3 linked regions of the Arabidopsis thaliana genome follow. The protein of the gene in region 3 interacts with the protein of the main gene of each other region in a pairwise test. Each region holds a gene or a part of one and is shown on either strand. Other genes may lie near its edges.

What was found. Proteins that work in one complex are often made in the same cells at the same time.
Region 1: the proteins of AT5G27370 (region 3) and CIPK12 interact in a protein complementation assay, tested with the Arabidopsis thaliana proteins (one large-scale study listed by BioGRID).
Region 2: the proteins of AT5G27370 (region 3) and AT1G30690 interact in a protein complementation assay, tested with the Arabidopsis thaliana proteins (one large-scale study listed by BioGRID).

What each region holds. Positions count from the first base shown.
Region 1 is NC_003075.7:10,286,406-10,294,109, reverse strand, and holds CIPK12 (CBL-interacting protein kinase 12), read left to right. Parts: upstream 1-3,051; 5' UTR 3,052-3,530; coding exon 3,531-5,000; 3' UTR 5,001-5,312; downstream 5,313-7,704. UniProt on the Arabidopsis thaliana protein: CIPK serine-threonine protein kinases interact with CBL proteins. Binding of a CBL protein to the regulatory NAF domain of CIPK protein lead to the activation of the kinase in a calcium-dependent manner.
Region 2 is NC_003070.9:10,884,798-10,892,775, reverse strand, and holds AT1G30690 (Sec14p-like phosphatidylinositol transfer family protein), read right to left. Parts: upstream 5,170-7,978; 5' UTR 4,926-5,169; intron 4,501-4,925; 5' UTR 4,493-4,500; coding exon 3,392-4,492; intron 3,306-3,391; coding exon 3,042-3,305; intron 2,949-3,041; coding exon 2,691-2,948; 3' UTR 2,393-2,690; downstream 1-2,392. Other genes in the region: AT1G30700 (FAD-binding Berberine family protein), read right to left, coding at 1-153; AT1G30680 (toprim domain-containing protein), read right to left, coding at 6,716-6,788, 7,033-7,100, 7,195-7,426, 7,503-7,634, 7,763-7,846. UniProt on the Arabidopsis thaliana protein: Carrier protein that may be involved in membrane-trafficking events associated with cell plate formation during cytokinesis. Binds to some hydrophobic molecules such as phosphoinositides and promotes their transfer between the different cellular sites.
Region 3 is NC_003076.8:9,662,106-9,668,386, reverse strand, and holds AT5G27370 (inactive Serine/Threonine-kinase, putative (DUF679)), read right to left. Parts: upstream 1,077-6,281; coding exon 501-1,076; downstream 1-500. Other genes in the region: GSH2 (glutathione synthetase 2), read left to right, coding at 53-176; SFP2 (Major facilitator superfamily protein), read right to left, coding at 5,962-6,101. UniProt on the Arabidopsis thaliana protein: Involved in membrane remodeling.

The sequences.
Region 1 (7,704 bases), on a different chromosome or scaffold from region 3:
ACTTTTAATATATATTTTTTTTTTTATCAAATTCTTTAATCTTATTATCATTAAAAATTATATAAGCAAAGATTAATTTGTAAAGCAGACTAATTTTCAAACACACAGAAAGTCAGTTTTCTTACGTTAAAGACGTCCATAATAGTTGAAAACCGGTGTCAAAACATTAATTTAAGATACATTACAACTTACAAATGTCATAACGTCTATGGTATACAAATACAACATATAATATAATTTTGAACATATATACGCAATAGTTATGGACAATCCCTACAATTTGAACCTATATTTGATAACGTAATATATACAAACGTATTTAATCACATTTGAATTCAGACTAATCTAACATTGCGAAAGTATGAATATAGTTTACAAATTCAAGTAATTTGCATTTACTTCCTACCATTTTATTTAGTTTTAAAGTCTTTAGACCATACTACGAGTACTAGAAAACTATATATTTGAAAATGAAGAGATTGAATAAATATTTGTGAGGAAATGAAGATAGAAATATTGACGGATGGGTTGGCAGTCGGTGGGAGAAGGTGGGCTAGTCAAAGCTGCAAACTTATTTAGTCAAACTTCTTATATAACTCATCATCTCTTTTAGCCTCTCTGTCTTTATTATTTTTCTATATTTTGTTAATATTTTTGTGGATGGTTCATGCTGTTTTGGAACGTACAGTCCTTAGAGTGCACTTCACCGTTATGATGTTCACACTTTTCAGGCTTCGATTGGAACTTTTAGCCCACCATAACCAAAGCTTATAAACTAGTGGAGAGAATGGGCTTTTATAGTATAAGGCTCATAGATTTATACAATCTTCTCTGTACGTTACAAGTCTACAAAGAGGAGTTAGGACTTAGGCGAGTTTGTTAGTTAGATTCTGGCACTTTGTTTAACCATATAAATGTTTTTAAAACCCTATACGGCTATATTTAATTCTATCTAAAGTGGTGAAATATCCCTCTTTTTGACAAAATCTAAGATAAATGATTCTTTAGTTCGTTTTCCTCGGTTTCTTTTTTTGTTAGTTAATTCACTTCAGCTGACAACTAGAGTTTAATAAAACTTTGGACATGAAATAATATCAATATTTTGTGTTCTTATTCAAAGGCCCATTTATAGTTGCAAAAGAAACATATAGGCCCATATATATATCTCTTTTGAAAAATGTTCAAACGCAACATATCGGACGTGCATAGGTTTCTAACATGAGAAATCCGGATTCGTGGCGGAGGAAAACAGAAACGATCGAACAAACGTCGGCAACTTCTCAGTTTATTTACAGGACTGCTAAGTTCACATATTAAACTAAAATAACCAGGAAGACAAAACTAGTCTTTAAATACGAAAGATTGTTTCAAAGTAGCGACAAAAGCTGGCGGCAAAATACTACCGAGTACTATTTGAATTGGGATCCTCTAAAGTATATAATTTGGGCCATGATTAGGCATTTGCCTCTTTTGTCTTAGCATTTGCCTCTTTTGTTCCAAGGTAGGCACGAATCTTGCATACCAAACTAGATATATAACATGCAACACGTTAAAGCATGTAAACAAAATGTGTGCGTACGATCTACGTGAATTTATTAGCTTATAATTATCATTTGAACTTAAAATATATGTGAAATTATTAACTTAATGCAAGTGCCAAACTGTCAATCGCAATTCCACTATAGAAAAATTTGTTATTCAATAGGTATAGTGTGGAACATTTTTACCAATTTGTAATTTAGTAATACTGCCGGAAAGAAAAAATCCTTCTGTTTCATTTTAATTAGTAAGTTTCATTTTAGATATAATTAAACAAATCTATCTAAAATATTATTTACATCATTATCGTTCTAAATTGACAATAGAACTTGCTTCATATGATAACTTCTCTTGCTTATATTTATAATCTCTTGACCGACCACCATTACGTATGTTGACTTACGACCCCACCGTCCTTCACCAACCGTTGCAATAGATTTGACTTTCATAATTATAAAAATGAATTAATTTAGATTTCATAATTAAACCATTAACATAGTTCAATTGAATTAATTTAGAATTCTCGACCGAATTTTGGCGTATAAAACCTTTGTTAATTTTACGCTTATAATTTCCTGTGAACACTATATATAGCTGGATTCCGTAATTTCCGTGAGTCTCTACATAAAGACAAAAACATTTTCATATGGCAATCCAACGGCTGTGATTAAACTCACAGCTGTTTTTTTTTGTTCAGATGACGTGGAGCCTAACACTTACCAGATAGAAAACTCGAGAATCCAGACCACTGAACCTAAAGCGATCGCTGAGTAACTGCCACGTGTAAAACAAAATCTAATAAACTATCGTTTTGAATAATACAGCCACAGAAACTATGATGTCATCTTCACGCCACGTGGTTTATGTTCTATGGAAGTATTTTATTTTGAAATTCATACGTAAATCTACGATCTAGATTCGTCTCGAGACCAACAACTTGACCCACTCACTTAGCTATTGGTGCTAATTGTCTTTCCCTATTAGATTAATGAAAGTTTAGAATTCATCATTGAAAAGCGTTTATAATGCAAGGTACAATTCGAAAGATATTTTAGAAACATTGTATTTGAAACAATGTCGATCGTATGGTCCACTACAATTATTTGAAATGATTCAACATCAATTCATTTATTTGATCGTTTTATTGCGTTATTGTTTGACATTAGCGGTTCTAAAATGAATTATAGCAAAACAAAGTTACGATAGTGACTTATATTATGTTTTTGTTTTTGAGTATTTGTAACAAACAAGTGGTATATAATTGGTGCATAAGAGGCATGACAAATACTGACATACGGTTGGTTCGAAAAAACCCAAAATACACGCAGCAAATAACAAGGAATTTAAATACAAGTTGAAATAATTAACATTGAGAGATGATTAAACTTGTATTATCTTCACGTGAATGATGATCTTACTTGAATATGTAAGTCCAAATAAAAAATTTATAATAGCAAGTTGTAATTGTTTCAACTTATTTAAATTTTTGAAACAAATTATATATATCGTCGGGAGAAATGATAAGTAATCATTGCAACCCATTTTGTTAGTCAATACAGTACTTAAGAATATCATTAAACACAAAATCCTGCATTAAATTTATAAAGTTACTATTTTCTATAACCATTAACAAAAAAAAAAGTTATTTTCTATAAACACACAAAATTCATAAAAGCATATTCCCAAATATATACGGCGACGATTATTATAAACAGAGGCCAAATGCTATTTTTAGTGATGAATCTCTAAAAACAGTAGAGAGAGAAACCTTCTTCTTCTTTCTTCTTCTTCTACAAAATTTCACAAAACGAGAGAGAGGAGAGATTCAAACAAACGAATCAACAGGTGAGAAATTCGAAATCTTTGCGAGCTCGTCTCGCCCAGAATCTCGATTTCTCCACCTTTCCTCTTCAATTCATCTTCCAAATCCCTAAAAAAAAGACTCAAACTTTTTAATTTTGGTCCAAAAAAGACTCAAACTTTCTTCATCAATGGCGGAGAAAATCACGAGAGAGACGTCGTTACCTAAAGAGAGAAGCAGCCCACAAGCTCTAATCCTGGGACGATACGAAATGGGTAAGCTTCTCGGCCATGGTACCTTCGCTAAAGTTTACCTCGCACGTAACGTGAAAACAAACGAAAGCGTAGCAATCAAAGTAATCGACAAGGAGAAAGTTCTCAAAGGAGGTTTAATCGCACACATCAAACGCGAGATCTCGATTCTTCGACGTGTTCGTCACCCAAACATCGTTCAGCTATTCGAAGTCATGGCGACGAAAGCTAAGATCTATTTCGTGATGGAGTATGTTCGTGGAGGTGAGTTATTCAATAAAGTAGCTAAAGGTCGTCTTAAAGAAGAAGTAGCTCGCAAATATTTCCAGCAATTGATCTCTGCTGTTACTTTCTGTCACGCGAGAGGTGTTTATCATAGAGATCTGAAACCTGAGAATCTTTTGTTAGATGAGAATGGTAATCTTAAAGTCTCTGACTTTGGACTTAGTGCTGTCTCTGATCAGATTCGTCAAGATGGGCTTTTTCATACGTTTTGTGGTACTCCTGCTTATGTTGCTCCTGAGGTTTTAGCTAGGAAAGGTTATGATGCTGCTAAAGTTGATATTTGGTCTTGTGGTGTTATCTTGTTTGTGTTGATGGCTGGTTATTTGCCGTTTCATGATCGGAATGTTATGGCTATGTATAAGAAGATTTACAGAGGGGAGTTTAGGTGTCCTAGGTGGTTTTCTACTGAGCTTACCAGGTTGTTGTCGAAGCTTTTGGAGACGAATCCGGAGAAACGGTTCACTTTCCCTGAGATTATGGAGAATTCTTGGTTTAAGAAAGGGTTTAAGCATATTAAGTTTTATGTGGAGGATGATAAGTTGTGTAATGTTGTTGATGATGATGAACTGGAGTCTGACTCGGTGGAGTCGGATAGAGATTCCGCGGCTTCTGAGTCGGAGATTGAGTATTTGGAGCCTAGGAGGAGAGTTGGAGGGTTGCCTAGACCTGCGAGTTTGAATGCTTTCGATATTATATCGTTTTCGCAAGGTTTTGATTTATCGGGTTTGTTTGATGACGATGGGGAGGGTTCTAGGTTTGTTTCGGGAGCTCCGGTTTCGAAGATTATATCGAAGTTGGAAGAGATTGCTAAAGTTGTGAGCTTTACTGTGAGGAAGAAGGATTGTAGGGTAAGTCTTGAAGGTTCAAGACAAGGAGTGAAAGGTCCATTGACGATTGCAGCAGAGATATTCGAATTGACACCATCGTTGGTTGTTGTGGAAGTCAAGAAGAAAGGAGGAGATAAAACAGAGTATGAAGATTTCTGTAACAATGAATTGAAACCCAAGTTGCAAAACTTGACAGCTGATGATGTAGTAGCTGAGCCTGTCGCGGTTTCAGCGGTTGATGAAACCGCTATCCCGAATTCTCCAACCATTTCTTTCTTGCCGTCTGACACTGAATAGAAGGACTTGATGGAAGACCACAAAGCCAGAGATCATGAGGGGTATGTATGTACACTGTATGTTTTGGGTTTTGTAATCTGGATTGGGAAAGAAAAAAAGCTGCTTACGGTTGGTGAAATTTAGAATCGAATTATATGTAATACTTATGTTTCTGTTGGAGAGGATCGTTAGAGAAATTGAGTTATGTTTTTTACTAACCTTTTAGCAGTTTTTTTTTGTAATGGGAGAATTGTAAACAGTTTCGCATAATCAGATCTTTGATATGTATAAAAACAATGAAATAAATAAAAGAAAGTTCCTTTCTTCTTCTTGAAAATCCACTTTTTGTTATCTCTGATAATTGGTTATATTTCTGTTTTTGGTTTGTTTTTTAATTTGCTAAAATGGGTAAGAATAAGAAGAGAAGAATGTTCTTGTTTTGTTGATTCTTGAACATTTTAATAGCGGAAAATTCTGATGGTGAATGTTATCTATTTGTGGGTAAAGAAATTGACAAGAACCATGTGAAGTGTTTGTCTTTGTGTGTATGCAAGTTGGTTTTGAATTGATAGCAAAATATTTGTCTTTTTATGGGAAATTATTATATTTGTAAGATTTGACAATCACGGATACAAAAGCTGTTGTTTCTTGATATGGCCAAGCTTTGCTCGATTTACATGTGAGTGTAAAGCATATATATGTTGGTGATGAATGATGATGCATTGATGATGTAACTGACTCGTAACTTTTTTTTGGAGATTTTGTTTGAATGTGCTTAATGATCATCTCTGTCTTTTTTCTTTTTTCCCCCTTTCTTTTATTGCTGTTTTTTTTTTGGGCAAAAGGAAAATATCAAATGTAACTTGTTGGGGGAAATAAGGAACAGAAAACTGTCTCTGAATTTAAAGCTAATATATTAACTTTTCCTTGTCTTTTTAGCTCAAGGAAATAATGGCTGTTTTGTTAAACCAAAAAATAAAATGCAATTGCAAGTGGTGAGAGTCTGGTGACCCAATTTACCAGCACAACCCACATGCACATGCCCCCATTAAAGCCCATATGAGGATGTCTTTTCTTTTGTAGAAAAGCTTTATAATGCATATTAAAAATTTCGAAACAATTATTATAGTGGTATAATGTGTTAATGTCCCTTTAAAGTACAGATAGAACAAGAAGTAATATCAAAATAACATATACATTTTCATTATATTTTATGATGAGATAAAGGTGACTGAAGAACTTTAAGTATATTTTTGTAGATAACATCTTTGACAATCAAAATTCCACACATCAATATGTGCAAGAACAATATTATTATTAGAAATTCGTAAACATTACACCATTTTTTTTTTTTTTTTGTAAAGATTGAGTTGTGGTAGAAAGATTTGAGGCAAGACGCCAATATCCGTACAAATTTTGGCTAATTGGATTAGATGATTTCAGTCTATAAAGAAAGTTGTTATGTAAGTGGGTGATTTGGTGTTATGAGTTTCTTCGGCTTGGACTCTTTTATGCGTCCGAAGTTTCCCTAAAACTTTAAGCCAACAACATTATTTACCTCGGAGATTAGCTTAATGCTAAAACGATTCAAACTATATAGTTATGATATTTCATATTTATTTTAAACAGAATTAAAACCTGGTTAGTCCTTTTGCACTCTCGATCTCGCTAGCGTGTTGGGGAACAAGTTGATGTAGTTTACCACGTAGTCCTTTTACTCGATTCGGGAGATGTACATGTCACCTTCTAAAATTTGGAGTCTTTGTTTTGTCTGATTCATAAATATCTCCATCTTTTTGCACACCAAAAACAAAACAAAAAACATCTAACTCTTTCTTACCCAATTTGTGTATACCGTTTTTACTTTGGAAAAGAAAAAAATCTAAAACCTTTAAAAAGGAATATTCGAATGATGTAAAGATTCAATACTTCCCGACACCTAATTCCCAACAAATTCGAATTGTCAATTTACATTGGTTTTAGTTAGGTTTTCCACGTATTTTTCTTATGAAATATTTCAACATTTATAATATATCGTGAGTCATTACATTGAAAATTACTTATGTTAGTAATTTGATAGTGAACAATTAACATGGTGTTAACAAAATAAGAAAAATACAAAATATAACACGGTGTTTAGAGGAAAAAGCATCACAACTTTATTTAGTACTAGAAAATGTCCCACGCGATGCGTGGGTGAAATGAATGTAGTGAAATATATGTCTATAATTAATATATATTGATATAATATTAAATTATTTTATAATACATTCAATAAAAAATATCATAAATATTGTGATTATGATATTTTAGTTTTAAACTAAATATTTAGTTTATGAATTATAATCTAAAATTATTTTGGGTATTTATAAATTAAAAATTATCGAATTGATCAAAAAAGAAAAATTATAATATTGATATACAAGATAAGCCTTGTGTTTTATTTAAATATATGAAAATGATATGCAATATTTCTCTGAGTAAAAGATTTCATAATTGTATATATCATATTGATTATAGTATGTGTGTAAATTGTAAAGTAGTTAATAGATTTGAAGTTGTGAGATTGATAAAGTCTTGATTAATGAGTAAGATTAACATATATGAATATTGATATATTAATACTAATTGATATCAAAAGAACTCTAAATACTTTATACAATTAATATTCAAATTATTTACTATTTCTTCCATCTTTGAACAATATGGTAAGAAAGTATTGAAT
Region 2 (7,978 bases), on a different chromosome or scaffold from region 3:
ATTTCCGGAGAAGAAGATAGCGGGGGAGATGGGATGTTTGGGGTCGGAGTTTGAGGTTAGGCATTGTGTGAAAGTCTCCGAGTTTGCTGATGATGAGCTTGATTGCCATATGAAGACAACAAAAAAGAGAACAAGAATCAATGCATATTTCATTTTCAGAGATTGAACGTTGAAATACAACAAAAATAAATATAATGACTGAGTTTATGAATGTCGTTGAGGCCTTTTGGTTTTTATAGAGAAGATCATGCATGATGCCAAAATATTTGACCAAGAAAAGTCAAATGTGGGTTCAAGTTGTCCCAAAGATTTTGATTAGTGTGGTGATCGCAATATATTCTAGAATTTACATTTAAAATTCAAGAATATTGTATATACAATTGCGTGTGTCAACGTATTATAAAAGTTATCATTAATGGATTTAAAGATTTTGAATATACTTTTCAAATTAGACTGGATTCAAAAATCAAAATGAGAATTATGTCACGGAAGTAGTTAACCGATTTTGTTTTTTTTTGTCTTTTGAAACTATTATAGCTAGGCACTAGTTGACTATGTAGTAAGTGAACTCTATCGTTCAATTTATTAATATTTTTTTCTGAAATTTTCGTTCAATTTCTTTTACCAATACAAATTCAAAATCTTAGGCTCATAATCTCTTTTGGTTTGGACTAAAATCTCGATAATTCTTTAATAAACGGTAAATGATTTATCTTCATCGGATAGCTAAATTTGGGAGTAAATTTTCAGCCTTGTTCCAAAGAATTTTTTACGAAGTGTTCTTTCGATGTTGGGTCAACACCTATACTGCCTCTATGAATATAGAAATATAAATTCTATAGGTGAGACTCATAAAATCAGCATTGAATCTGCAGTTGTTATAAACACAATTTTTTTTTGTGAAAAACTGAAAATATATTAATTCCATTAAAATCATTTCTGTGTCTCTCAAATGCGACCTGAGAGCATCCCTACTTTTATAGTATCACTCCAGATGCATTAAATTCGAGTTTGTAATGTAGAAGTTTCATTTTTTTTTACAACACTCGAAGTAGTAATTTACGATCCCATGAATCGATTAAGGATGGCTATATTTGAACAGAACTATATCAACTATGAAAAACCCTTGGACAATTAACGACCTAATTAGTTAAAATAAATTCTTTATAAATATTTTGTGACAATGTTTTGGAACTCTACAAGGTAGAGATGTTGAATATTACGTAATTTTTTTTTTTGGGCAAAAAAATATTACGTAATTATAATAAGTGTTTAAATATGAAAAGTATTGACTGAAATATAACATGAACTCATGAAGGATACATTTGAGCGGCTGGTTTGACTTTCATATTGTTGACCAAAAGTAGTATTATTGGGGCCGCAAATAAAGAAGAAAATATAAACTAGACGTGGATTCTAAATTAATTATAACACTGATATGCTGAAAAGAATATTGATATTTTTTGTTAAGAATATATTTATATAAGCCATTTATATGTTACCCGCATGTTAGTCTATAGATTAGAGAGAAGCATGACTAAGCTGTCCATTAAAAAAAATGCAACAAAAATCTTAAAAAAACTTTCCATACAGACAATTCTTATAGAAATTAAAATAAAAGACGTAAGGTATTAGAAAATTTAAAATGATCAAACACATTTTGTTTCAACGAGAGATGTTGTTTTACCGTACGAAAGCAAAGATGTTGACGAACGCATTTATAGGAGGAGAAGTGCAAATCTATTACAAGTTACAAATTGTTTATATTAAAATCATTCAATTTAAAGAAAAAAAGGTAGAAGGATCAGTGCGTCTAGTCATCTATAATCTTTTTCTCTGATGATGCCATGCATGCGTGTGGTGTCGTAATCACTACATAGAATTCTGCAAAAATTGATCCCAAAAAACAAAATTGATTTTACTTTAGAAAAAAATGTAGTAGCTAATCTTATATTTTTCTGGCCAATGAAGCGGTTCGAGCCACTATTCTTCATCCATTGATGTGTACCAATAACAACACAAAGAGTAGATTTTGTGGCAGTCTTTGTTTTCGCCGCGTATATCCATTAAGGTAAGTTCACACACATGCATCATCGATCGTAACATGAGTAGTCTAAGGACATTTACTCATAAGTAAGAACTAAGATTTAACTATGGATAGAGATGACAAACAAAAAAAAGATTTAACTATGGATAGAGTTGTTATGTTTTTTTCCATCCGAATTTCAATTTTTTCCCGGTTTTGGGGTTTATAATATAATGAATGTTAGATCAAAAGAAAAATTATTAATCATCAAACCATTCCTCTTTTGGTTGTTCAACTGTTTTTCTCACTGTAAAACCTTTCAGAACAACCATACAAAACATATCACATATTTCTTCTTTGGTGTTACTCTGAAAGGCCATTGGGCCAATACTCAGCCCATGTAAAACTCTGAATATTCGAACATATTTATTTATCCATACAGTTTTAATCAAATAAATCAAATAGGGAAGAGAGGAAAAATCTCATACCAAAGAAGCAAAAGATTGACCTTACCAAAAAAAGAAAGAAGCAAAAGATTGAATATCAATGAAATAATGGGAGTATCTCTTTCTCTTACATATCACTCAAAAATAAATAATAACACCAAACGTTTAAATTTAGAAAAGAATATTATATATCCAGAGACTACATGAAATCCTCCACTTCAGGAAGAGGATTCAGTCTTGGTTCTGTACCTGTACAGAACTTTCTTCTTCTTGCCAGAGACATTGTCAACGGTAAGAACAATCTTACCAGCCTGACTGTTCTTGAAACTGTTCCTGATTGGTCCTTCATTTGCTCCCATCTTCTTCACCTTTTGGACTATTACCGTGTAAGCTCCTTCTTCTGTTGGCACAAACTCTTCCTTGTAATTCACTTCCCATCCCAAAACCGCTATGTCCCATACCAATGTACCTTCAGTCTATGAAAACAACCACAAAACAAAAAACCATAATTAGAAAGATAGGGTTTAACAACTTCAGGAATAAGGTAGGGTTTGGTTTTCTAATTATACCTCAGGAGCTGGGATTTCGATGGTTTCAGATGATCCAGGCTTAACAACAACTTCAGAGACAGTTTCGTTGGAGAATTCGGTATCGTCTACTGTTTTGAACCCACCGTACTGAACTGGGAGCTCATCAGCTGGAATGTACTTGAGAAGAGTCTCTCTGACCTTAGCGGGACGAGCCACAACAAACTTGCTCTTGGTTCGTTGAGTTAAGAATGGCGAGAGGACAGCTCTCATGGCGTAGAACCAGAATGGAACGTTGATGAATATCTGCAGAACAAAAACAAACAATGATTAGAAAGTCAGTAGACCAAATCAACGAGTCCCAAAACGAATGATGATAATAATCAACTCACGTTTCTGGACACGAATTCCGGATAGTTGTCCTGCAAAGTCTCGATTACTTTCTTGATTCCGACCCAAATCTCTGTTCTTGACACTCCAGGAGCGTTTTTGAGATCGTGGATCTGGAGAAGAGAAGTAACACCTCCTGGTTTAAGATTAAGCTTCTGGATTCCCTTCTCCATCAGCTGAAACCTCCATCTCAAGAACTTCTCTCTGTTCTTCTCCGACCCAATCGTCTGGTAAAGCTCCTCGCTGTGGACATTGTAACAAACTGGGTGGGACTCGCGGTCCACACCGTTCATGTAAGCTGCAGTGGCAAGATCCTCCCCAAACTCCTCTCCAAGGATCGAATCAATCTTGTTTTGCTTTCTCCATTTGAGGGTTTTCTTCAGCATCTCAAAGGCTTCGTTGACTTTAAAGTCTCTTGCTCTCAAGAACTTCAAGAGGATAACATCCGTGCTTTCAGCTCCTTTGCTTGGAAGCAATGGCACTCCCCAAAGCTCGATATCCTTATCCACCGACTCATCTTCATCCTCCACCTCAATAGTCTCAGCTTTCACTTCTTCAGTAACAACATCCTCGGTTTTCTTCTCTTCTTCCTTGGTTTCTTCTTCTACCTTCTCAACAACAGTAGTCACTTCTTCCTTGGGGATTATCTCCTCTGTAACAACAGCCTCAACAGTCTCAGCTTTCGGTGCTTCTTCGGTAACAACAGCCTCAGATTTCTTCTCTTCTTCAACCTTCTCCTCTGCTGCTTCTTCCTTCTTCTTCTCAACCTCAGCTTCAGGTTTCACAACCTCTTCCTTCTTCTCCTTCATAGGAGAGCTCTCCTTCTTCTTCGTCTTTAAGAGAGTGTTGTCAACAATAGCTTCCTCAAGCTTAGACTTGAGATCACTCAGTGCCTTTTTCTCAGATTCTTTCAAATCAGCAAAGAAATCACTCTCTTCTTTGAAGGAAGCACTCTTCTCCACACCCTCAGGCTTGCTCTCATCTTCTTCAACCTTAGTCTCTTCCACAACAGCCTTAACAGTAGTCTCCTCAGGAACAACAGCAGGAGCAATAACAACCTCTGACTCCACCTGTTTCTCCTCAACCTTAACTTCAGCAGTCATCTTAAAGCCTGTCATTCAGAATCGATTCAAACAATATTTAGTCACCAATTATACAATTCACCAAAGTAGTAACCCTAGAACTAATTAACCTTGTTGAATTAGTTGAGATCTAAAAGAAACAAGCTTAATTCTTCTTCCTGATTAGTAGAGATCTAAAATCAAAAACGTAATTCTTGTATAAACCCTAACGATTAAACGAACTCAAACAACATAACACAGAATCCAATTTCAACTCTGCAGAACTAAATCTCAGGAGGAAAAGATTGAAACTTTCTTTTTTTTTTTCCTGAAGGCGAGAGAAACCTAGCTCAAATTCGAAGCTTTCTAAGTTTATCTATATAAAAATCGAGAAATCAAGAGAGACAATAGAACTAAAACCCAAAAAGGATTCGAATTTAACAGCTTCTAAAGAGAGAAAAAGAGAGAAACCAACCTAAAGAAGAAGATAAGACTTACACTGTTTCTGGAAAAGATTCTTCTTCGGAATCTCTTTATAGAACCTGAAGAAGTTGTTCTTGTAGTGTTTTTTAAAGTTTAAGCTGCAGCAGAGAAAGAGATTAATGGGGGGTTGTGAATAAATAAGAGAAGAGAGAGGAGGAGGAACAAAGAAGGGAGCTTTATGCAGAGAAGGAAAAAACCCTAGGACTAGAGGTGGTCCACACCGCCCTTAGCAACGGTCACATGATGGACCCTACCAGTAAACATGAAGAACCAACCACAGCCGTTGGATGATCCAACCTGGCCCCAATTTGCCAGCCTGGCAAATTCTCAAAATCGCAGAACAAATATTTTACGTAGCACCAAGAAATATAAATTAATAAACAAAGATATTGGTGAGGTCCCACGTTTCGCTTCTCATGTTCTCTCAACGGTCGTCGATGCTGATCTGTTTACACGACACGTGGTGCTATTCGACAGAGTATGTTCGGCGCAACGGACGGATATATTCACTACCAAAGTCACTTTTTGTGTGAAATTCATTTTAATATGGTTTTATTTTGTTTTGTTTCCTTTCTAATTTTACAGAGTTATCACTTAATTCTAAATTACGTCCCATTTTAATATAATTAGAAAGTACCATGTATAATGTGATAGTGGAGAAGAATCTCTTCGTTGTAACGGTTCTCAATCAAATATTTGTTCCTTAATATATCATGATTTTCATTAAACAGTCGGAATTGGATATACGGTCTCCTTTATTGGTAAGTAAATGTCTCTTTTAGCTGTTGACACCAAAATATGCCAACAAAGACACTAATCATTATATTTTTATATTAATGAGTTGCTGTTTCATATGAATGGTTTCATATCATCAAATGTTTGCATGTAAATCAGATGATTAAGTGATTTGAATATTGGTCGAAAAATTCTAAACTTAGTTATTTCCTAATGTAAATATGTGATTAACATACACAAAAAATGATTATTTATATAAGTTCTCAATAAAAGTTTTGTCTATGATGTTTATGTCTTTATGATGTATAATTAAAAACAATACTAAATATATCAGAATAAGCAAATGTGTGAAAAAAAAACAATGGATTGATAAATTAGATAATACCAATAATTTTGGTCTTGGTCATATCCTTTGACGAGAATAAACTATTTCCACAACTTTCACCTATATTCCCTATATTAATTACGTTCGCAATGATTATATATGATCGACATTTATAGTGCACCGCCGCAACTGATTCTATTATAAAATATTTGCGTGACAATTAGATTAATACTCAAAGAAATCAACTAGATAGACGTAACACAAAGCAGTATAACATTGGAAATAATTGAATCAATTTGCAAAGAGTTTGCATAATTATAACAGAGAGGTAGTTGAAGTCAACAGTTATACAGCTAATTCACAACACCAAATCAGCCGCAACAAAAGGAGGAGACAGAGACAGAGAGAAACAGAACAAACTACAGAAACAGACAGAGCACAAAAAGATCACAGAGCTGTACAAAAATCGAATTCAGTCACATTTTGGATCAGACCTACCAGACACAATAGAGAAACACCATGATTCATAATTCCACATTACATAGTAGAGACATAATCTTGTTCTTGAATCTTGACAGTCTGTTAAAACACAAAGGTAAGAATCTCACAAGATCATCTTTTTCCTCACCAATGGTAACCCAAAAGGGATAAAATTTAGTTGACAAATGTTATCGATACGCTATGTCCACCGTGTTTGACGGCCTTTAAATTCACCAAACTGATCAGTACCGCTTGGGTGATCTCCTCTCTGGCATTCCAGGCGTCACTGGAGAATCCGAGTAGGAACCAGTTGTCCTGTCGAATAAAGATTTCATTACTGAACCAACATAGTAGAATTATCGATTGTAACTTTGAACAGAGTTTTGATAAAGGTTTGGTGTTCTAGGCAAAGGTCTCTACGCTTTGGGTACTTCGGAATAACTTCAGCTAGTTTTCGATGCCAAAGTAACAAAATACTATCATAAGTTCTTGTGAAAACTTGTTTAGTCCGTTAAGTTAGATTAGTAGAAATAAGAAGGTAGTTGAAAAGTTTATGTACCTGTCATAACACAAGTATGCATCACCAATTTGTCCTGCCACCTTGTTTCGTACTTTCCTCACACCAATCTAAAACATACAAAAAGGTTAGTAACTTTACACAATAAGAAGGCCATTTTTAAAATAATACATTACAGATGAAGATGAAGGGATTGGTACCCACTTGAACTAGATCAAGAGGTCCAGCATTTTCGTCGCGGTTTCTGTGAACTATAATACCATTGTCACATTTGTTTATAAAATGTGCGCTGCCACTAATATCGTAAAGGTTTGGTGCACCGCCATCCCAATGTTGCAACTGTTTTGGATGAGCGACAAACCAGACATGGCAGGAGTGGTGTTGGGAAAAGCGTTTGATTTTTGTAAGCATCTGGCTGACATACTCTGTCTCCGTCCTATCAAAACGAATATTAATCTTTCATGTTTCAGAAAGGAAAGAGGGTATTCAGTGAAAATATTTTCTTCACTCACTGGCGTGGAGTACGTTGATGATCGAGCTCATTGTAAGGATCTATAACAAGTCCTCGAATCCCATACCGAAGAACAGCTGCTTTTGCACGTTCCAGAACCCAATCAATACTTGGAAGTGAATCCATCTCACATCTGATTAGTCATGAGAACCCAAACACCAAAATTTTAACATATCATGTCCAAGTTGCACAACTTCCTGGGCTTTAGGTAGTTATTTTGCATCAGCGGAGAGTCGAGTTCTACAAGGCTGAATATCTTACCTTATGGGATAGAAGGTGTCATTCAACCACTTTTTCCCTTCATCCTTCTCCTCAACGCTCATCCGTTGGACAGATCTCCCATAGCTGTCGAAAAAAAGGGGAAACATACACACCACTTTCAAGAAAGGACAAAGTTAAGTACACGGTCAGACATTACAAGAGCACCAGCTATTGGCTGCAATCAGAAAGATGTAGATCTTTTCAAAGCAAAGAGGC
Region 3 (6,281 bases):
TAATTCTCAACTTAATTTTGTGCCATAATCTTTGATTAAATGAAATATGTAGGAGCAAAGACGAAGTTATAGTAAACGAGCAGAGTGGTTATCTAATGCGCACGAAGATCGCATCATCAGATGAAGGCGGCGTTGCAGCTGGTTTTGGAGTCTTGGACAGCATATATCTGATTTGAGATGGATAACATTCACAACCATCTTGATCAGTTTTTCTTCTGGTTTATTCCTTCTTCTTCTCTTCTTGCTTGTTAAAGATTTGTGTATTAATCATGAAGATCAATAAGACTAGGCAAAGCTCTTTACAATTCTTTCCACAGGACCGCAAAGCCTACATTGCTTATTGTTATTTTTAGACCGTGTGAGATGATTACTCGTTTATAAAGATCATGAATTGAATAAGATAAGATCAATCATGGAATTTGGGGTATAAAGATTATTACCATAGCAACATATTTAGACCATAGGCACATATATGTACATACACAAATAAATGTTATGAATCAACGAATGTCTGAAATTCCGATGCCTCTCCGTTTTGAGGGAAAGATAGCAAAGAAGAAGCTTGCCATTGTCAACACCATAACAGCAAAGTACTTGATCATAAGTACAAAATGACCACCCCAACTGTTTTCATCGTCCTCCGGGAGCAAACACCTCCGAAAATCCGAGCTCTCTACGGCTAACGCTAAGAACACGATAACCGACACGAAAGCATGCACGAAATCTACAAAACTGAGCTTATATCTCTCTCTCTTATCAGCCGTTAAGCCGGACTCTGGATCATAACCTTCGTCTGGATAGTCGTTGAGGATGTGGAGACCGTTAGAGGTGGCAATTCCGTAGTAAATGCGGCCATCTTGGCCTACATATGAGTCGGTGAAGGAGGAGAAGAAGCAAGCCGCGGCGCAAAAGGAGATGAGAGTAATGGTGAGGAGTTTATTGACGGGTTTGTTGTTGCACTCGCCGCCATTGGAGAAAGACGGTAGTAGGGTTTCGAATATGAGGGCGGTCCCGGTCGGCAATAGGTTGGCGAAGTTTCCGGCAGACGGTAGCGATCTAATGAACGACGCCTCCATTTCGTAATTTGATCGGAAGTGAGGAAAGTTTGTATGTTATGTGGAGAAAGAGTGTTTTGTATGTTCTTCTATACGTAATGCATGCATGCGTGAGGATATGTTTGATGCGTCTTTATATACATTTCTTAAAGATGTCGAGTTTTATTTGGTGTCCGAATATGTAATATATATTTAGTTTTGTTACTATATATTTCCACATTTTGTCAAAAGAAAATAAAGAACTATAGATATACACATTTGGATAACCCTTTTTTGTTAGAAGTTAGTTTATATATTGGAACTTAGTTTGTGGTTTATAACTTTGGCTAGTCGTTAATGAAATTATGGTGCATCAAGATATTAAGTGGAGGTACGCTCTTATTTCGTGTTTAGATCTTAAAGTGTCAAAATACTTTTATGAAAGTGCTATTTTTTACAAAATTCGATTCGTTATTTTTGCATGGCCATAAACAAGTTGGGACACGATTTTTTTACGTGTTCACACACACATGCATTATTTGATTAATCAAATCTGCCAGGGAAAGAAAAAACAAATCTTAGGAAAAAAAAAACATAATATTTGAGCTAAAACGTAAATAATTGGAGATGTGCATGTTCTATGAAATTGAGTCCATTAAGCGATATCTTGCACGGTTGTACCTAACTCATTTTGGTGACTCGGTCTTACAAAAATACGTCAATTTTTATAACACAAAATACATGTAACGTCTAATGGTCTTTCATTTAAAATATATATCTTGTATTCTTGTTTTATATAAATAATATGACGAAATGAAAATATGTATGAAAATGTAAGATGTTACTAACCTTGCACACATAAAGATCGAACCGTTTCTCATTAAGCGAACCGTAAAATTTTCATCTGATGAAATTTCATGAAGATCCTTTACAAAAAAAAAAAAAAAAAAATCCAGTTGCGAGATGCATCTATACTATTAATTGGAAATCATTGAAAATAAACAACCTTATGAAGGGTAAAATATTACATAGAATGCCATTGATTGTTAGTGTTTTTAAATAAATTTATTAAGAATACAATAGTAATCACAAAATTAATATATTTAAATATAAAAATTGGTAATATTCTTTTAAGTAATTATTAGTTTCCCAAAATTAAACTCACTTTCTCTTTCCTATTAATTATAGACGAAAAAATAAAATATATTTCTTAAAATTTGTTAACCAATAAAAATTGAAAAACTTAGATTTGATATCAAATTATACAATATTATTAAACTAACATTTTGGAAGTTAAGTTTTATTTTAAAATTTTAAAAAATCATAAGACTTGCTTGATATCATGAATAAAAAAATCATAATTTGTGATAGATAAATAAATTCAATTTAGAATTTTGGGTTAAGTATTTTGAAATATAAAACGAAAATTTATTTTAAAATTTTTAAAAACGAGATAAGATGTTACAAATATTAATATTTACTATGAATTAAACTAAAATAATTAATTTAAAATAATTATCATTATGCCTTACATTTAGAAATATCTAAACAATAAATTTTACATACTAATTTTGAAATATTTTGGATTTTCTTTTTTCTATTTTTCAACCGGATCTTTTTTCAAATAAATCTATAATATATTAGTGCACAAACTTTTGAAATAATATAAACTAATTATACATTTTTCATTCAGAACAAATTATCCAGCAAAATAAATTGCTTTTGTAGGGGTATTTCAAAATTTTAATTATATTCCAAAAATCCAATTAATTATGATTAAACAAGGGAAAGAAGAATATTAAACATGTAGGTAAGGAAATAAACATTATTACATTTGTTAAAATATAAATTTTTACAAAATTATTTGTTATAATGCTATTCATATTTTTGAATTTGAAAAAAAATCAAGAAAGAGTATTTTTGTGTTTTAATTTATGATATATTTGTAAACTTTAACATCCTATATGTTAATCCGCAAAACTCAGTCATATATAACATGATATTTAAAGGTAAGCAAATAAGAATTTTGGAACGTATTTTCAATGGAATGAAATGAAAATAGGAATTATGAGACACAAACGACATGAAAAGAAACGGAAGCACTATATAAAGAAATTTGAAACCAAACTGGACATCAAATTAAATATCCAACTGGTATGAGTTTGGGTTATGAGCACTATATAAAATAAATTAACCCTGCATGTACGTATTTTGTGACACAAATTCTATTTGTGATGGGCGTTGGTAGTATTTTTATTTCACATATACAGACGGGTTATGGAACGAAGAATTTATGATAGATACATCACATTATGGGTTTTCCGTTCCAAGAAATATACGTCAAATATACGTTTTAATTTTCTAAACTAATCAAAACATTATAACAGTTTGATTACTGGTGTAAAATAGGATATAAATTTGGTTTTAGTTTGGGTTATTTCCCCGTGTGAGTCCAGATTTTAAAATATAATTATACACGAACACAATTGAATTTTGGTTGTTATTCTTACCTTTATAATATCTATACTATTACAAAGTTTACTTATAACAAAATATTATATATATTTTAAAAATCTATTACTTTTTTTCATATTTTGCACGTATATGCGAGTTCTGATATCTAATACATTATACTATAATATATATCATAAAATAACAAAAAAATCTACATTGAACTAAAAATATAAAATTCCAAAAATATGAAATTCCGCACGTATGTGCGGGTAAGGATCTCGTAAACATTAAAAGAAACAGCGAACAGTGGTCATTTTCTTTGAGAAACGGGAGCAAAGTAACGTTTCATTAATAATAATAATTTATTATCTACAATCCTTCTTGATGATTACCGAGAATTAACAAGCCTCACTATATCATATATGATATATGTAACACTTAATTATGCCATCATATTTGTTAATCATCGGAATTGTTTCTCAAACTCTATTAGCCAAGAAACAATTCCAATGATTATGAGATATAATACCAAACTCAACATCTTTAGAGTAAATATCTCATTTCTATGATCAAACTCAGTCTTAGATTTCGATTTAGTAATCTCTTGTTAGGTTCAGTTCAGTTTCATTTGAGATTAGGTTTATCGAAGAGTATACTTCCTCTTAATAATCCTTTATTTTGGTGATGATATGGATACATCCCCAAATATCTTCTTTTTTTGTTTGTTCAAATCCCCAAATATCTATTAAGTTTGAGATCTTTTAAGTTTAAAGATGACCAAGTCATGGGTTTGAATCCTAACAATATCTCTAAAAACTAATTTTTCTTTCCGTCCGAAAAACAAACAAACAACTAATTATGGTTTCGGACACAAAAAGACTATGGACAATATGTTTATAATACTTTTCGTAAAAAAATATTGTAATTTCACTTAGTTATAATATTCAGAATCTGATCCATTTAGTGTTGGGATAGTGGTAAGAAGTCAGTCTAAAATAAAATGGTGAAGTCTATTTTTGGTTGGAAATGATTTTTTTTATTTATTTTTGTTGAAATGTTATTTTAATTTTATCAACAAAAAGGTAATTTACAAAAGGAAAAAGAGAGACATGTTTAAAACGTTAAAACAAACATGGCACTTATTTTACACTAGAGAACAGAAGATATTGTCATCGACGCTTTGGGACTTGCATAAGTAGACTCCAACGACTAAAGGAGTGTGGAATCACCGTCTGTTCGAGCCAATGTGCAGGAGATGATGTGGTTGGAGATTAATTTGTCTATTGCCTGAGCTGTTTGAAGAGGAGATTTTTATATCTTGGCCATAAAAATACGTAGTTATAGTTTATTTTATTTCCCTAGTGTACAAAGAAAAAATAGTACAGTAAAACTTTGATTATGAAAAATTATGTATATTTAACAAACGTGGTCCTTTGTTTTTTTTTTTTATTGACAATGAACAAACATGTAGTCCCTTCCATGCCATCTTAATTGTAGATGTACTTCTCATGATTCACAGCAATTTGTTTATTTTTGTCCTCACGCCAATATGGAAAGTGGGGTATTCATTTTTTTTTTTTTTTGTGATAATAATATACAGAATATTGTGTATAGATTTTAACTATATGTCATTTAGTGTTGGGAAAGTCATATGATAGATGATCTTCATGATGTTGAAAGAAAAAAATAATTGATTTTGGTAAACTACATTTTTTTTTGTCAAGCCAGTAAGCTGCATTTAAAAACTTTCTTTACAACAAAAAAAAAAAAGAAGACTCGGGATGATATAAAGATAAGGTTGAATCAGTTCCATTAGTTAGGTTTTGAAAGTGACCAACTCATTATTCACTCACTATTCACTATTTGTGTTTATTCCATTATCAAAAGAGTGGACCAAAAAAAAGTGGAATTGATTGATAATATCGTTTAACAAAAAACAGTATGACCTATTTTAGTAGTTGTCAAAAAATGAGATAAGAAGCTGAAAAATAGTAGAAAAAATCAATTAAATAAAAACATTTACATATTTGGTATGATGACACGCGATGAATAGAAAAAACATTAGTTCTAAATTCTAATCAAAAATTGTTAAAACTATTTTCTTAAAAAGGTAGATTTTTTAAACTATAGAAAACAATAAAAATAAAAATAAAAATTAATAATTATAACAGAATAGTTGCTATTTAAAAAAATTAACGGTTGGCCCTTGTTTATACAACACTAGATATTAAACTTCTTAACCTTTTTATTAGTGAACGATGAGGACAAAAACATTTTACATTTGCAATCATAGGGATAAAATACAAATGAACATAGGCCTTGTTTTACATCGCGGAAATATACATAAAAAATTCTAAGTATTAGAAAAATTAAATAGTGATTACATAATGAAAAAAAAAATTACTTTCTTAGCACAGTATCATAAATTGATTTTAATTATTTATCTATTAAAATAAAACTTAAACGTTTCAATCTAACTTTGATTTATTCTATCGGGCTCACGAATAAGCGAAGCTTGTATTTCTTCAAGTGATAATCCTTTCGTTTCCGGAACGAGCAACCAAATAAAAAGCAATGCTAGTCCTCCGACTGCTCCAAATACGTAAAATGTTCCTGTTACATTGATATATAGTATTAGTTGATTACTTTCCATAATAATAACATAATTTTTCAAACAAAATCTAACTTATTATTTTTCAGAAATTCGGTTTAGTCTGAAAAAAAAACATATAATTGCATTATAACTGTGGATATGCTTTATAATTATGCCAATTGCATTCATGTTTTAGACTT